Canis lupus familiaris: one gene and its partners. The protein of the gene in region 1 interacts with the protein of each later gene in a biochemical or structural test. Links are inferred from orthologs where the notes say so. Each region holds a gene or a part of one and is shown in the gene's direction. Other genes may lie near its edges.

What was found.
Region 2: the proteins of XRCC1 (region 1) and POLB form a complex in vitro, tested with the Homo sapiens proteins (5 studies listed by BioGRID, with this or other methods). The link is inferred for Canis lupus familiaris from reciprocal best matches to the Homo sapiens genes XRCC1 and POLB.
Region 3: the proteins of XRCC1 (region 1) and PNKP form a complex in vitro, tested with the Homo sapiens proteins (3 studies listed by BioGRID and IntAct, with this or other methods). The link is inferred for Canis lupus familiaris from reciprocal best matches to the Homo sapiens genes XRCC1 and PNKP.

What each region holds. Positions count from the first base shown.
Region 1 is NC_049222.1:112,284,417-112,289,289, forward strand, and holds the end of XRCC1 (DNA repair protein XRCC1), read left to right. Parts: intron 1-765; coding exon 766-859; intron 860-991; coding exon 992-1,124; intron 1,125-1,535; coding exon 1,536-1,590; intron 1,591-1,686; coding exon 1,687-1,826; intron 1,827-2,897; coding exon 2,898-2,988; intron 2,989-3,372; coding exon 3,373-3,448; intron 3,449-3,553; coding exon 3,554-3,667; 3' UTR 3,668-3,752; downstream 3,753-4,873. UniProt on the Homo sapiens protein: Scaffold protein involved in DNA single-strand break repair by mediating the assembly of DNA break repair protein complexes. Negatively regulates ADP-ribosyltransferase activity of PARP1 during base-excision repair in order to prevent excessive PARP1 activity.
Region 2 is NC_049237.1:24,044,218-24,049,282, reverse strand, and holds part of POLB (DNA polymerase beta), read left to right. Parts: intron 1-1,510; coding exon 1,511-1,581; intron 1,582-2,295; coding exon 2,296-2,382; intron 2,383-5,065.
Region 3 is NC_049222.1:107,373,584-107,378,597, forward strand, and holds the end of PNKP (bifunctional polynucleotide phosphatase/kinase), read left to right. Parts: intron 1-618; coding exon 619-698; intron 699-777; coding exon 778-835; intron 836-929; coding exon 930-1,037; intron 1,038-1,346; coding exon 1,347-1,418; intron 1,419-2,438; coding exon 2,439-2,487; intron 2,488-2,565; coding exon 2,566-2,636; intron 2,637-2,720; coding exon 2,721-2,813; intron 2,814-2,887; coding exon 2,888-2,984; intron 2,985-3,070; coding exon 3,071-3,132; intron 3,133-3,295; coding exon 3,296-3,405; intron 3,406-3,484; coding exon 3,485-3,572; intron 3,573-3,655; coding exon 3,656-3,717; intron 3,718-3,809; coding exon 3,810-3,927; 3' UTR 3,928-3,966; downstream 3,967-5,014. UniProt on the Homo sapiens protein: Plays a key role in the repair of DNA damage, functioning as part of both the non-homologous end-joining (NHEJ) and base excision repair (BER) pathways.

The sequences.
Region 1 (4,873 bases):
GCACTTCATACGGATATGTGTGTGCACCTGCTGACCCTGCTCCTTGTCCCCACACTGGGCAGCGCCGGGGATCTGGAGAGTGGTTAGACCAGGGCCTGCCAGTGGGGAACACAGGCGGGCTCCTCCAGCGTCAGCAGGCTTCTGAGAGGCAGGGCAGGGGCTGCACGGCTGCTGAGGAGGAGGGAGGACTTTCCCAGGGTCTCAGGGCTCTGTGAAGTCTGCTTAGGGAGACTGAGAAGCATGGCAGGCTGGAGAAATTGCTGCAAAAGGCGCATGTGCCTAGCATGTGGGAAATCCCATGTAAGCATCAGCTGTTCTTGTTGTGATAGAGCTAGGGACCCCTTCTCCTGGAGTGTCAGCCACTTAAGGTCCCATGCCATGAATATAGTGTCAAGGTCTTTAAAAACATATTTGCTTTTGAGGATTTTCCCTTGACTGATAGGTATTCTCCTAATGAGAAACTGCTTTTGATTCTCAAAGGGGAAAATTATTTCTGGGTTGTTGTTGTTTTTTTCCTTTCTGAAATGGGGCATTTCTTTCCCAAGAGGGCGGGGAAGCAAGCCAGTGAGGCCCATGTCTCTGCTGTGGGTGGCTGTGGTGACTGATGGGTTCAGTGGGGCCCTTCCAAACCTGGAAGCCAGGGCATCCTGAATGATTAGTAAATGCCATTTGCTGTGGCTTCCTGAGCACTGGCCCCCACGCCCACCTCATATCCTCTGGAGGACACGATATGCCGTTTGTCTGAGGCCTGATTCCTCCTCCTAGGTACCTCATGGCAGGACCAAGCTCCAGCAGTGAGGATGAGGGGGGCTCTCACAGCGGCAGCAGCGGGGATGAGGCCCCCAAGCTTCCCCAAAAGGTCCTATGCCCCCTGCCATGGTGGGGAAGGTGCAGTGGGAGGAAGACATGGGTCTGTTGTGGAACCCCAGACTCTCCATCCTTGTCTTCAGCAAGAACACATACTCATACCCATGCTGCCTTCCCTTCTCAGCGCCCCCAGACCAAAACTAAGCTGCCTCAGGCAGCAGGACCCAGCTCACCCCAGAGACCCAAAACCCCAGAAGAGACCAAACCAGCCTCACCAGGGCCCCAGGAAGATACGGACAGTGAGGGGGAGCAGTCAGGTCAGAACCTAAGGGAGGAGGGGTTGGGGGCCTGGACTCTTGGGTCTGAGGGAGGGAAGGGGTTTTAGGTCTTAAGCCTGAGAGAAGAGGGGGCTGGGGACCTGGACTGCTGGGTTCTTGGAGAAGAGAGGGATGAGATCCTTCAGATCTGAAGGGAGGAGAAGGGGCTGGGGCCTGGACTCCTGCATCTGAGGGAGAAGATGGCTGGAAACCCAGACTCCTGTATCTAAGGGAGGTAGGGCTGGATCCCAGACAGTGGACCTAGGGGAGGGGAGGCTGAAGTCCCAGATAACTGGATCTGGAGGGCAGTTGAGGTTGAGGCCTGGCATGCCTGCATCTGTGCTTGGGCGAGAGACCAAGAAGGAAGGTTACCAAACACGTGCCCTTCATTGACCAAGCTTCCACTTGCAGAAGAACAGGGCAATGGGGCAGAAGATTCTGGGGATACCGAGGATGAGCTGAGAAGGTAAGGTGGGGCTGGGGGTGTCGAGGTAGTCCCAGACTTGGGTGGAGGGGGATCTGGTCTGCATGCTCTTCCCCCACGCCCTGTTGTCTCTCCCAGGGTGGCTGAGCAGAGGGAACAGAAGCAGCCCCCTGACCAGGGGGAAAATGGTGAGGACCCGTATGCAGGATCCACAGACGAGAACACAGACCACGAGGGTCCCCCAGAGTCTCCTGACCTGCCAGTTCCCGAGCTCCCAGGTAGGAAATCCCTCCCTGCCTCCTTACATGGGATCTGCCTTTCTCAGTTCTCAGCTGTGACTCCCACCACCCAACCCTTGGATTGAGGCTGCTTCCCATGACTTGTGATTTGTCTCCCCACCTCCTTCCCCCATAATCCCTGCCTCTGCTACCTTTTTGTTGTCTTAGGAAGCAGACACCCTCTTATGACTTCCCTCTCTGTTCCCCCTCCTGACTTCCTGCTGTGACCGCCTCCATCACAGCCCAGGGCTGGGCATGACCCCCTCTGGCTTTCTACTCAAGTGCCAATGGTGCCTCCTTCACCTGCCTCTCGGGTTCAGGTCTGTCAGCATGGGAGGTCACCCAGGCACACAGGTGACATGGGCATGGGTCTCTTGGGGCCTCAGTGGTGATGGCATTGCTATTTGTCCTCCTAACATGAGTGCAGGGGGCATGGGACAGGCAGGGGTGAGAACCTTGGCCAACAGAGAATGGAGGGAGGAGCTAGGCAGCCAGGGTCTGCACAGAGGTGAGGGTCAGTGGCAACTGGAAGAGGCTATTTCTATACGGTTCCCTGTGGGTCTGATGGGCAGGAAAGTGCTTTGATCCTCCAAAGCCCCAAAAGTGTCATCCGCAGATTGATGATTTGGAGAACTATGTTAAGATGGAACAAAGAACAGAGGTGTCCTGAAGGTCAGAGCCGGGGAAGGCACTGGCTGGTAGAGGACTGTGACAGCCAGGGTGAGCAAGTGACAGGCTCTAAGGCTGTGAACTGGGCCACATGAGCTAGGTGCCACCAGCCCATCTGTGATGTACCTCATGGAAGAAACACATAGCAGTAATAGTCATTTTGTCTCTCACCATGAAAGCAAAGCAAAACAAAACAAAACTCCAGTTCCCAGAAAAGTTCTATGGGCCTGGCTGAGAATCACCGTTTGTGACAAATGTCTCTGCCAGGGCATGAATGAACAGGCCTCCCAGCCACTATACTGGCCTCCTTCGGGTCTTGCCTTCAAGTGCTCTGTGGCTCCTGGCTGGTGCTTTGAAACTCCAGGCGCCTCACACTTGGCACCTCCACCATCTTTCCTGCAGACTTCTTCCAGGGCAAACACTTCTTCTTGTACGGAGAATTCCCTGGGGACGAGCGGCGGAAGCTCAGGCGATATGTCACAGCCTTCAATGGGTCAGTCTCCAGGGGTGGGGGCGAGGGCAGAGAGGGATTATGCTAAGTTGTGGGAAGGAAGGCGATTGGGAAGATGGAGAAGGGGTACAGCCTGCTGGATGGGCACAGGCTCTGCTTGCTCTGCTGGGCCCCCCGGGATGTATAACTTTCCCTCTCTTCCTCTTCTCTACAATGAGGCCCCCTCTTCCTGCTCACCTTCTGAAAGGATTAGCAGTAGTGGGAGCCCTTGGTATTGTGGCTGTGGCAAGGCTGGCTCGGGGAGAGTGGGGGCCCACAGGGTAGCCCGTAGGGAATGGAGGTGAGGATGAAGGGAAGACAGCCTTGGAGAATGGTTGAGGAGTCGGATGTCAGGAGAAGAGACACTGACTCTCTGCCTCCTGCCAGGGAACTTGAGGACTATATGAGTGACCGGGTCCAGTTTGTGATCACTGCACAAGAGTGGGACCCCAGTTTTGAGGAGGTGAGCTCCAGAGGGGTGGGGAAAGGGACACCCAGCCCGCCCTTGTGTCACCTCCACCATCACCTCACTCACATGTTCCTGTATTCACCCCTCCCCACCCTGCAGGCCCTGATGGACAACCCCTCCTTGGTGTTTGTCCGGCCCCGATGGATCTACAGTTGCAACGAGAAGCAGAAGTTACTTCCCCACCAGCTTTATGGGGTGGTGCCCCAGGCCTAGAGTATGTGCTTGCATGCACTTGCACATGCTTGAGCGCGCGCGCACACACAAGATGAGCTCAATAAAGGTGATCTGGTTTGGAGTAGCTGCCCCTCTTACTCAGAAATCTCCTGAACCTCCTAGAGGGCCCCAGATTGTTGTCATAAGTTTGGTTTTTGCTTCCCTTCTGAGGGTCAGGTGTCTTGGCTGCCTTAAGACCCCTGCCCTGGGGTCCTAGAAAGAATGAGGGGCTCTCTTTCAGGGGTTAGATAGGGAAGGAGCTCTTTGTCACTTCTCCCTGGCAACTTACCCCTGTAGTGGCAGGTGGCCGGGAATTGGGATTCTAACCCATTGAGCCCATTCCTAGGTCTTGTTTGTCCCTTTCTGAGTCCTGGGCTGGAGGCCTAGATGCTCGTGAGGTGTGCTTCCCAGCTCCCCCGGGGCCAGGGATATCTCCCTTTTTTTCAGGGCTTTCAGAAGTGGTTGTGGAACTGTCCCCAGCATGGTAGAACAGGGGGAAGGGGCATTTGAGCCCCCTCAAGCCTCCACCACATTTAAGTTGGGAACTGGGCAAGTGTTAGAGAAGTGGACGGAAGGTAGGATGGAGTTCTAGGCAGGGGCCGGGGCATGGGCAAAGGCCTGGCTCCCTGGGGTCAGTTGCTTAAGAGGCTTTAGGGGCAGATCTGTCTGGAAGGATGGACATAGTCTTTGCAGCTTTGCTAACATGGTAGCCTGTGGACCTGGGTAACTATAAATGAACTGCAATGAAATGAAGGGGAAATTTTACTCTGTTGATGACACTGGCTACCCTGCAGGTGTTCTGTGGCTGCTGTAATAGAGAGCACAGATAGAGTACATTTGCTTCACTATAGAAGCAAAAGGACAGGGCTGTCCCGAAGGGCTGTGAACACCAGGTTGAGAAGCGTGGATGTTATCCTGGAGCTGGGAAGGTCAGGAAGGGGTTGGAACAGTCAGATCTCAATAACAAATGACCATAAACTTAGTGTCTTAAGCCCACGGAAACTTAGAACTTTCCAGGTCTGGATGTCTCACATCCAAAATGGGTCTACGGGGCTAAAATTCAGGGTGTAGGCAGGGCTGTGTTCCTTTGGAGGCTCTGGGGGAAATCTGCTTTCTTGTCTTTTCCCCTTGTCTTCTGTATTCTTTTTTTTTTTTTTTTTTAAGATTTTTTAATTGTTTATTTAAATACACAGAGAGGAGAGAGAG
Region 2 (5,065 bases), on another chromosome or scaffold:
CCCTGAGCCAAAGGCAGGTGCTAAACCGCTGAGCCACCCAGGGATCCCCCATAGGTATATTTTAAAGCTTTTTTTTTTTTTTAGATAGTGCTTTATCCTTTTAAATTTTTTTAAATTTATATTTTTAACTTTTAAAAAAAATTCAAGTATAATTAACATGTAGTTATTTTCAGGTGTACGATACAATGATTCAACAATTCTGTACATTACTAGTGCTTATCATGATAAATGTACTCTTAATTCCCTTGACCTATTTCACCCATCCTGCCTGCCTACATTCTCTCTGGCAACTACCATTCTCTATTTGAAGAGTCTGTTTTTTATTTTTTTTAATATTTTATTTATTTATTTATTTATTTATTTATTTATTTATTTATTTATTTATTTATAAGATTTTATTTATTTATTCATGAGATATGCAGAGAGAGAGGCAGAGACATAGAGGGAGAAGCAGGCTCCATGCAGGGAGCCCGATGCGGGACTTGGTCCTGGGACCCTGGGATCATGCCCTGAGATGAAGGCAGACACTCAACCACTGAGCCACCCGGGTGTCACTGTCTGTTTTGTTTTTTAAATTCCATATAAGAGTGAAATCATATGGTAATTGTCTTTCTATGACTGATTTACTTCACTTAGCATAATATCCTCTGCATCCATCCATGTTGTTGCAAATGGCAAGATTCGTGGGTTTTTTTATGGCTAAGTAATATTCTATTGTGTGTATTTACCATATCTTCATTCATCTGTCGATGGACTGCTTGGTCATCTATTGATGGAAACTTGGTTGCTTCCGATTCTTGGCTTTTGTAAATAATGTTTCAGTAAACATAGGAGTGCATGTTATCTTTATGAATTAGTGTTTTTTGTTGGGTAACTACCTAGCAGTAGAACTACTGGATCATATGGTTATTTTATTTTATTTTATTTTATTTTATTAATTAATTAATTTATTGGCAATTTTATTTTTAATTTTTGGGAGAACCTCTATACTGTGTTCCAGAGTGGCTGCATTAGTTTGCACTCCCACCAACAGTGCAAGAGGGTTCCCCTTGTTCCATGTCCTCGCCAACACCTGTTGTTTCTAGTGTTGCTAATGTTAGCCATTCTGACAGGTTTGAAGTGGTATCTCATTGTGGTTTTGATTTGCATTTCCCAGATGATGGGCATCTTTTGGTGTGTCTCTTGGCCATCTGAATGTCTTCTTTGTAAGAATGTTGTTTTTATTCATTATTGAGTAGTTATTTAGGTGCATTTTTAATACATGTAGCCAACTGTGCGTAATACATATCTAATGCCAGTTACTGTTGTTACTCCAGATTCTTCCATTTACATCAGCCTATGTGAATAGCTGAACAGAAAATTGAAATCTTGTAACTGAGTATGAAGTGTAGTGAAAAAGAAAGTTAGGCTGGAAGAAGTAAGCTCATACATGTGACATCACTTTGGTTTCTGCGTTTGCCTAATTGATAGATTTACATCGAGAATTCCATACATATTTTTATTATCATAGGTGCAGAGTCCAGTGGTGACATGGATGTTCTTTTGACCCATCCAAGCTTTACCTCTGAATCAGCCAAACAGGTATCACAGGATTTATTTATAATCAAATGTGCTAAGTCTTATGCAACAGTGAATATCATTTTCTACATGGCAGTTGGATATCCCGGAATGAATTTTTGTTTTAATCTTTCTGAAAAGTCAGTTGTACTTTGTACTGATTGAATTCTGTGAAAGGCAGAGTAAGTGGTTGAAAGGGATACATTTAAAAAAAAAAAAAAAAAGCAAGGGAATACATAGTGGTGTTTTTCTGCAGGGAATTAGGGACAGTCTGATTTTTGAAAAAGAAAAAAATTTAGTAAACATTTCCAGAATTATTTATTATCTATCATGGATATTTCTAAAATATCCAGTATAATATTGAGGTTTTCATTAAGGTAATATTTTTCTATTAAGCAATATTATATTAAGAAACTTTATTCCTATTAGAAAACCCATGAAAGCAAAACATTTGTGATTTTAGAATATATACCTTTTAAAGATGAAGCAGCTAACTTTTTGATTTAATGAAGCAGATAAACACAAATGATGTCTGTTTGGGGGTATCATGATATTGGTGAAGAATGGTGGCTCCTAAAAATATGTTTCATTTGATAAATGAATTTTGTGCTAGAAGAAAAAAGTACTTAGAACAGAGGAATACTAGGCATTTCTCCATAGATAATCAGAAAATTTATGTTAAAAATGTTTTTTTATTAATCTTATTAATCTTCTTATTTCCTATTTATGTTTCCACAGCCAAAACTGTTACATCGTGTTGTGGAACAGTTACAGAAGGTCCATTTTATTACAGATACTCTGTCAAAAGGAGAAACAAAGTTCATGGTAAGTACTCATTGGAGGTAACACTTCTGAAAAAATACCTTGGAAAACTGTTCAGTAACCATTCTGAGTATGTGACCTCAGTGCATCTTAGTATTACAGTCAATAAATAGGATATCCATGAAAATATACAGAAAATTAGCAGGATACTACTCCCAGAATATTTTAGTAAAGAATTTTAAGTTCCCTATTTGTAAATAATCTGTGCCATTGGAATACATAATTAGGCGTAATCTGCTCTTTTTAAAAGATATCTATAAATGACTTTGACACATCTAAGTTTTTCCTTAAAATAGCAAATATTCTCATATTCTCTGACTCAACTTCAGTAAGTGAGAAGAATTTTTTGAAGAATATTAATCTGTTACAACACCAAAAAAAAAAAAAAAAAAATCTGTTACAACACCAAAGAGAAGAAATTAGAGTATGTGATAAAAACAAATTATGTGGCTTGATAAGCAGAGGAGTTAACAGAGAGACACTTGCAAAGATTTTCACAGTGACATCATGACGAACTGTTAAAATCCTGTAATCTTCTTAGGGAATTAAGCTTTGAAGATTCAAGACAGATGGCAAATGAGTTAAAAAAGAGGTTAATAAGTGTCCCTGCATTGGGGATCCCTGGGTGGCTCAGTGGTTTAGCGCTGGCCTTCGGCTCAGGGCGTGATCCTGGAGTTCTGGGATCAAGTCCCACATCGGGCTCCCTGCATGGAGCCTGCTTCTCCCTCTGCCTGTGTCTCTGCCTCTCTCTCTCTCTCTCTCTCTCTCTCTCTGTCTCTCTCTGTGTCTCTCATGAATAAATAAATAAAATCTTAAAAAAAAAAAAAAAAAAGTCCCTGCATAAAAACCAACAGGAAGGCAAATAGCAATCTAGGACTAAGGTAATAAAAAGTGCTCACTTAAATTTGTACTTTTAATCCCCCTTTTCCCAAGTTATATGCCTGAAATGGAAAGAGAATGTGCTTTTGGAGAATGGACATGTTAATATTAGCAAGAGTCTCACTGCATAGATTTGACAGTGGTTTAAACCAACAGTAGAAGATAGTTGAGATAGATCATTGAAATATCCTGTCATTCAGAAAGTGGAATGGTGCTTGCCAGGGGCCTATAGGGAAGTGGTATAGGGAATTACTATGTAACAGATACAGAATTTCAGTTGGGGAGGAGGAAACGTTTGGGAGGTGATGGTGGTGGTAGTTGCACAACAATGTGAATATACTTAATGGTATAGAACTGCACACTTAAAAATGGTTAAAATGGCAAACTTTATGTAGTGTATATTTCATCAGACCACAAAAAATCATGTCATTAAATTCAACGTGGTGATTTTAATGGGGTATGAAACTGTATTGCCAAAGTTGGTCATATTTTATAGTGTTTTCAAAAGAATGTTGGGAAAGGTAAAAATTCTAGTCAGTGTTTGGAAGTTAAATCTATGAGCTCTTCTCCCAGATCTATCAGATTTGGAGCTTTTACTCTAGGCCCAGGATTATAGACACATGAGATGTTATTAAAAATAGGGTTTATATATGCTCTAGGAATATCACTTTTAAATTGAGATTGATTTTAATTCATTCAAAATGAATGTGCACAAATCTTACATTTAAAGAACAATTCAATCAGATAAAATCCTGAAAATAGCATGTGCTAGACAAGTTGAATTTTTTTTTTTTTCAGTCAGGAAAGTGTCCTGGTATGCCTGGGCATCTCTGTGAAAGGCCCTAGACTTTTACTGGAGAAGCACATCAGCTCTTTTGAGAGCGACCAAGAAGGTGTTTATGCAATGCAGTAGCAGACGCACTTCTTCGCAGTCTGAACAGTTTTCTTCTTTGCTCAGAGGGAGATCCAGAGGAAACATTAGCAGAAGCTAGTAATCCAGCTAGTAAGAATACAAAGAAACAAGTTGGTAGGCTGGGTATAAGGTGGAAAGGAAAGGTGGGTAGCCACAAAGATGTGAACATGAAGAGTTGCTGGCAGTGGTGGACTTGGGTAGCTGCTCAGCCGTAGAAGAGAAGACTTTTGTCTAGCAGCCTAATTCCAGTGACTTCTGCAAACCACTTTGGTTCAGATCTTATCATACATGTGATACTTGAAAGACTAAGGCCAACTGACCGATCCTAGGCCAGGGCTGGACTTGTGGAAACCTTTGCTCTGGCTGGCCTTTCCAATCTCTCAATCATACTCCTAACAGCACATCTACAGCTATCGCCAGAAAGAGAATACCTCAAATCGATTTCCAGAAGGAAACAGGTTAAAAAAAATAAGCAAGTGGGTTTTTTGTTTGTTTTTAAAGTCGAGAAAACTAAGGCCTTTATGTTGTGTCATAGGAATCCATCTTAGTGAATAGCTTGTGTATGAAGTTTGGATACTGTACATGTGTCTCATATTCTCTGAAGCTTAAAAAATGCCATGTTTGAGCCTGTTTTGACATTTATAATTAGTATATGTTAGGATAAGGAGCAATCCAGTTTAGCTTTCAAATCAATTTATTGTGGAAGCATTAAGAGGTGATTTGTTTCTAGTTGCAAAGAAACTAGATATTCTTATATCATTGAATAGGATGATCCAAAGCAGCCAGTGTGAGGGGAGGAGTCTTGGGGAGGGCTTGAGGTAAGGGAGCTAGCCAGAGAGCAGGGCTGGAGCCAGAGCAGTGAGGAGGGGGCGTGGGCATTTAGCAGAAATAGCC
Region 3 (5,014 bases), about 4.9 Mb from region 1:
GTGTGCCCCTGGGCCATTCAACCTCTCTTAGCTGCCACTTTTTTGAGAAGTGGATCTGATGACAAGTTCAGAGGGTGTTGTAAGCCCTGGGGGCATCGATGTATGTCAGCTCCTGCTTGAGCCCCAGAAAGCACAGTAGTGAACACCATCATTTTCACAGGGACCCAGAGACCTGACCTCACAGTTCCCCCCCATCCCCCCCGCCCCCCAGTCCCCTGTAAAGTAATAAACCCAGAAAAGCGCATGGCTCAGTCCTCTACATGTGGTTTGCACCCAACTTCACTCCTGTATTCATTTTCACTGTTATTAGCCTGAAGTGAAGGCCAGGGGAGGTGGGTGAGTATGACGTGAACCCCATTTTAAAGGCTGGCATACCCAGGGGCATAGGAGAAATAGGAGATGGTACAGTGAAGATCTCGGGCTCTGCACTCAGGTGGTAGGGACACATTCTTCCTGTGCCTTCCCCTAAACGTAAGATGTGTAGGCTGTGACTCAGTTTCCCATTTAGTGACGGGCAAGTGGTAATGTCTCTACGTTGCAGAGGTGACGTGATGTAGCCTGTGAGTCGAGATCAGAGGCATAACAGGGTCGCTGTTCCTCTTTTCTTGCTGACATCAGGTGGCTGGCTTTGATTTGGACGGGACCCTCATCACCACACGCTCTGGGAAAGTCTTTCCCACCGGCCCCACCGACTGGAGGTGATAAGAGGCAGACCAAGGGGGTGAGTGAGGCCCCCGTGGGCCCCAGGTCACCTACCTGCTTTCCCACCCACCCTAGGATCTTATACCTGGAGATTCCACGTAAGCTCCGGGAGCTGGATGCCGAAGGCTACAAGGTATGTGTGCTTTTGTGCATGGAGACCAGGCCACAGGGAGGCTGGGGCCCCACTGAGAAGGGCACCAGGTGACATCCATGCTTCCCCCCCCCAGCTGGTGATCTTCACCAACCAGATGGCCATTGGGCGCGGGAAGCTGCCGGCAGAGGAGTTCAAGGCTAAAGTGGAGGCTGTGGTGGAGAAACTGGGCCTCCCCTTTCAGGTATGGCTGCAAGGGAGCTTGAGTCATAGAGGTTGGGGGACAGGGACCCAGACAGAGGCAGGGACAGAGTTAGTGTCACGGTGTCAGACCGTGACAGAGAGGAGGGAACAGAGACCCAGGGAGAAGGCATACGTACCAGAAGGCAGTGGAGGCCCCCCGGCAGGGTTATGCTGGTAGAAACCCATCATAAATGGGTTCTTGGGCATCTGGAGTCCTCTGGGTTGGTGAAGGGGTAGCATCCCTGGCACCCATGCACCCTCGAAGGATTTGGGGAAGGAGCCCAGGAGGGTGTCTGACCTTCACCCACAGGTGCTGGTGGCCACACACGCCGGCTTGTACCGGAAGCCAGTGATCGGCATGTGGGACCATCTGCGGGAACAGGTGAGTGGTGGCCTCCCAGTAGCTCCCTTCTTCCCTCACTCAGCCCAGCCTCCCCCTGCCACAGGTCTCTGCTGTTTGGCCACCTCCTCTCTCCTCTTCTCATCTCATTCCCTGGTCCTTGCCTCCTTTTCCACCAGTCCCAGTCTAGGTACAGGCGGACAGCACTCTTCAACTCTGAAGATCAGGATGGTCCAGGGACACATCAGTTGTCCATGTATTCTCTTGTGTGTGCCTTTGTTCTGAAGCTCAACAGCTTCTTGAGCTGAATTTGTTAGCGTATGAGACAGACCTGCTGGGGCTCACATACCAGCGAGGGTGCAGACTAGAGGTGCACAGACTGGGTGTGAAATGGTGGGAGTGAAGTGAGGTGAGGCAGGGTTTACCTACAGGGGTTAGGTAGGCCTCTCCAAGGTGCCCTTGTAATTATGAAGCTAGTGAGGGAGGGAGCCTCGCAGGGGAACCTAGGAAGAGCTTCCAGGTGGGAGTAACAGCATGTGTAAAGCACATGTAAAGGTCCCGAGGCAGGGCTATGACTAGTGTGTTCAGGGACAGTGAAGAGGCCTGGGTAGCAGGACCTGAATGGATGATGGGGTAAGGGTGGGGCGTAGGGTCAGAGATCGGGCAGGTGTCAGATCGTGAGGCCTTGTGGGTAAGGTAAGGTCTTCCCTTTTACCCAGCCAGGGGGCAAAGGGATGGGGCCCAGGAGGGCTGGGAGGAGAGGAATCTACAGAAGTGGGAACTGACACCCCCCTGGTGGCTGTGTAGGGAACAGACGCAATGGGGATGGAACAGTGAAGGGGGGTAGGAAGTGGCCCAGCAGTGGCAGCGCCACCAGGATATGATGCTGAACTGGGGCAGGAGAGGCCAGACGTGCCACCAGGATATGATGCTGAACTGGGGCAGGAGAGGCCAGACGTCAGGCCCAGCTCAGCATCCTCGCAACCCCCATTAGTATTCTAGGGGAGCAGGCATGGGAGTGGGTGGGTTCCTTACTGCCTGTTGTCACCTGTCCCTCCCTAGGGCAACGAAGGTGTGCCTGTCTCCATCGGGGACAGCATGTTCGTGGGAGGTAAGGACCCAGGGATGGGGAGTGTGTGGATCCCCTCGGCTGGGCCGCTGGTGGACATGGAGCTGTCTTCTGTCCCAGATGCAGCTGGACGACCAGCCAACTGGGCCCCTGGCCGAAAGAAGAAAGACTTCTCTTGTGCAGACCGTCTGGTGAGGCTCCTTTCCCCTGCTGGCCTGGAGCTGTGTCCCCACCTTATCTGATGTCTGTGTCCCCTGTCGTCCCCTCCCCGCCAGTTTGCTCTCAACCTTGGCCTGCCCTTCGCCACACCAGAGGAGTTCTTTCTCAAGTGGCCCGTTGCCAACTTCGTGCTCCCCACCTTTGACCCGGTGAGGCCTTCGGGGTGGGAGTGGGAGTCGGGAGAGGAGGAGAGGGTCTTGCTCATCACTACCACCCCTCCCAGAGAACCGTCTCCCCCTCGGGGCCGCTTTGCCTCCCGGAGTCCAGCTCCCTCTTGAGCCACGACCCTGAAGTGGTTGTCGCCGTGGGATTTCCTGGGGGTGAGACACCTTGACCCCTTGACCTCAGAAGCCCCAGTCCAGCTCTGGGTCCTTGGGCCCCCACTGACCTTGCCCCTGCCTCACAGCTGGCAAGTCCACCTTCCTCCAAGAGCATCTTGTGTCAGCAGGATACGTGCACGTGAACAGGGTGAGACAGGCCCCCCCCCAATGTGCCCAGGCTGAGCGCAGAGTCCCTGATCCTTCCATCTTCTGTGCCCATTCCCTACCCCACCTAGGTTCTCCCTAGGTGTCTGCTTCCCTTGTTTCTCCTGCCCTCTCCCACTCAGGGTCTGTCACCTTGTATCCCCCAGGACACCCTGGGCTCATGGCAGCGCTGCGTGACCACGTGTGAGAATGCTCTAAAGCAGAGGAAACGGGTTGTGATTGACAACACAAACCCAGACCCTCCGACCCGGGCCAGGTACTGGGCTCCCATGGGCAGCCTCTATAGGGTGGGCTCAGCACCCCTTACCAGCCTGGCCCCTTCCTGGCCCCAACAGGTACATTAAGTGTGCCCGAGACGCAGGTGTGCCCTGCCGCTGCTTCCTCTTCAGCACCACCCTGGAGCATGCACGCCACAATAACCGGGTAAGCTGGCCCCTGCCCCTGCCGTCCCGACCGCCTCCAGGCCCCCAATTCCCAGACCTAACCCCAACCCCCACCCCCTGCAGTTCCGAGAGATGACGGGCTCCTCTCACGCCCCCGTGTCCGATGTGGTCATGTATGGCTACAGGTAAACACAGAAGCCTAGTGGGGAGGTGAGGAGGTGGGGGGTGGACCGGACCCCAGCTGGGTCTCACCTTCCCCCATCACCCCTGCTGCCAGAAAGCAGTTCGAGGCCCCGACCCTGGCAGAAGGATTTTCGGCAATCCTGGAAATCCCGTTCCGGCTGAACCTGGAGCCTCGGCTTGAACGGCTCTACTGCCAGTTCTCAGAGGGCTGAGCTGCGCATCCCCACCCCCCCCGCCCCCGCCCCCGCCCCTGCCCCTGCCCCTGCCCCCAATAAATTGTTTTTTTTTTTTTTTTAAGCTTGGACAGCATCATGCTGAAAGAAGGGTAGTCTACCCAGTGAGGACAGGCACCCGGGCGAGTCCCCGGGGACGGGGGAGCACAGACCTGCCGGCCTCCCAGGCCTCGGGGCACGGACCCCCAGGGATCTGCGCTGAGCTGCGCACTCGGACCACAGGCCTTTCCCAGGGAGGGTAGTTTAGGCTTCCTCAGAACTGTGGCTGTGGGCACCCTAAACAGAGGGTGGGGAATCCAGAGGGGCAGGGCCCAAAGGGGTGCGGGGTGGGGGCGGGGGCTTTTCCTCACCCGCGGGCTGCCCAGCTGCAGAGCCAGCCAAGGAGCACCCATGATGTGACCCTGAGGACAAGAGCTGGATCCCGAATCTGGTGAGTGAGGAATGGCAGCCCGGACCTGAGCAGTAGGGGGCGCTGCTGAGAGCCCTGCCAGGCCCCAAACCCCCAGCAAGTCCTGGATGGCCTGTGTTTGCTGCCAGCCAAGTGAGGCCTGTTGAATCCCAAAGGATGGAGGAGAGCAGGCCCTGGGCCCAGGAATACAGCCAGCCAGCTCCAGGGAGGCCCAGGAAGATGGGGCCACCATCCGCTGCGTGGGCCAGTCAGCTGGGGACACACCTGCCCCTGAAGGCACAAGCAGCTCTGTGAAGAGTGTCCTTCCTTCTAGCTCAGGTGACCTCACGAAAGGTGGCCTCCCCCAGAAATCTGATGGAAATTCATACTCCTGGGTCCCATCAAGCTGAGGGACTCTAGCCTAGGGCAGGGGGCCTTAGGCCATCAGCCTTCTGGGAACCCATGGCGCTCGGCTCCACTGGCATCTCCCCTGCCAAGGCATCTGGACACGGAGCCTAGTGGCCAACGGGCTTTTAAAAGACTTTATTGGGGAAACGTACAGGGGTGGGGACCGTCCGCGGAGACCTCTCCGGACGCTGTCCTCCATCTCGCTGGGCAGTAGCCATCCCCAGGGGCCCCTGCTCAGAAGCATCTGACCTGGGGGCAGGAGGAGAGTGG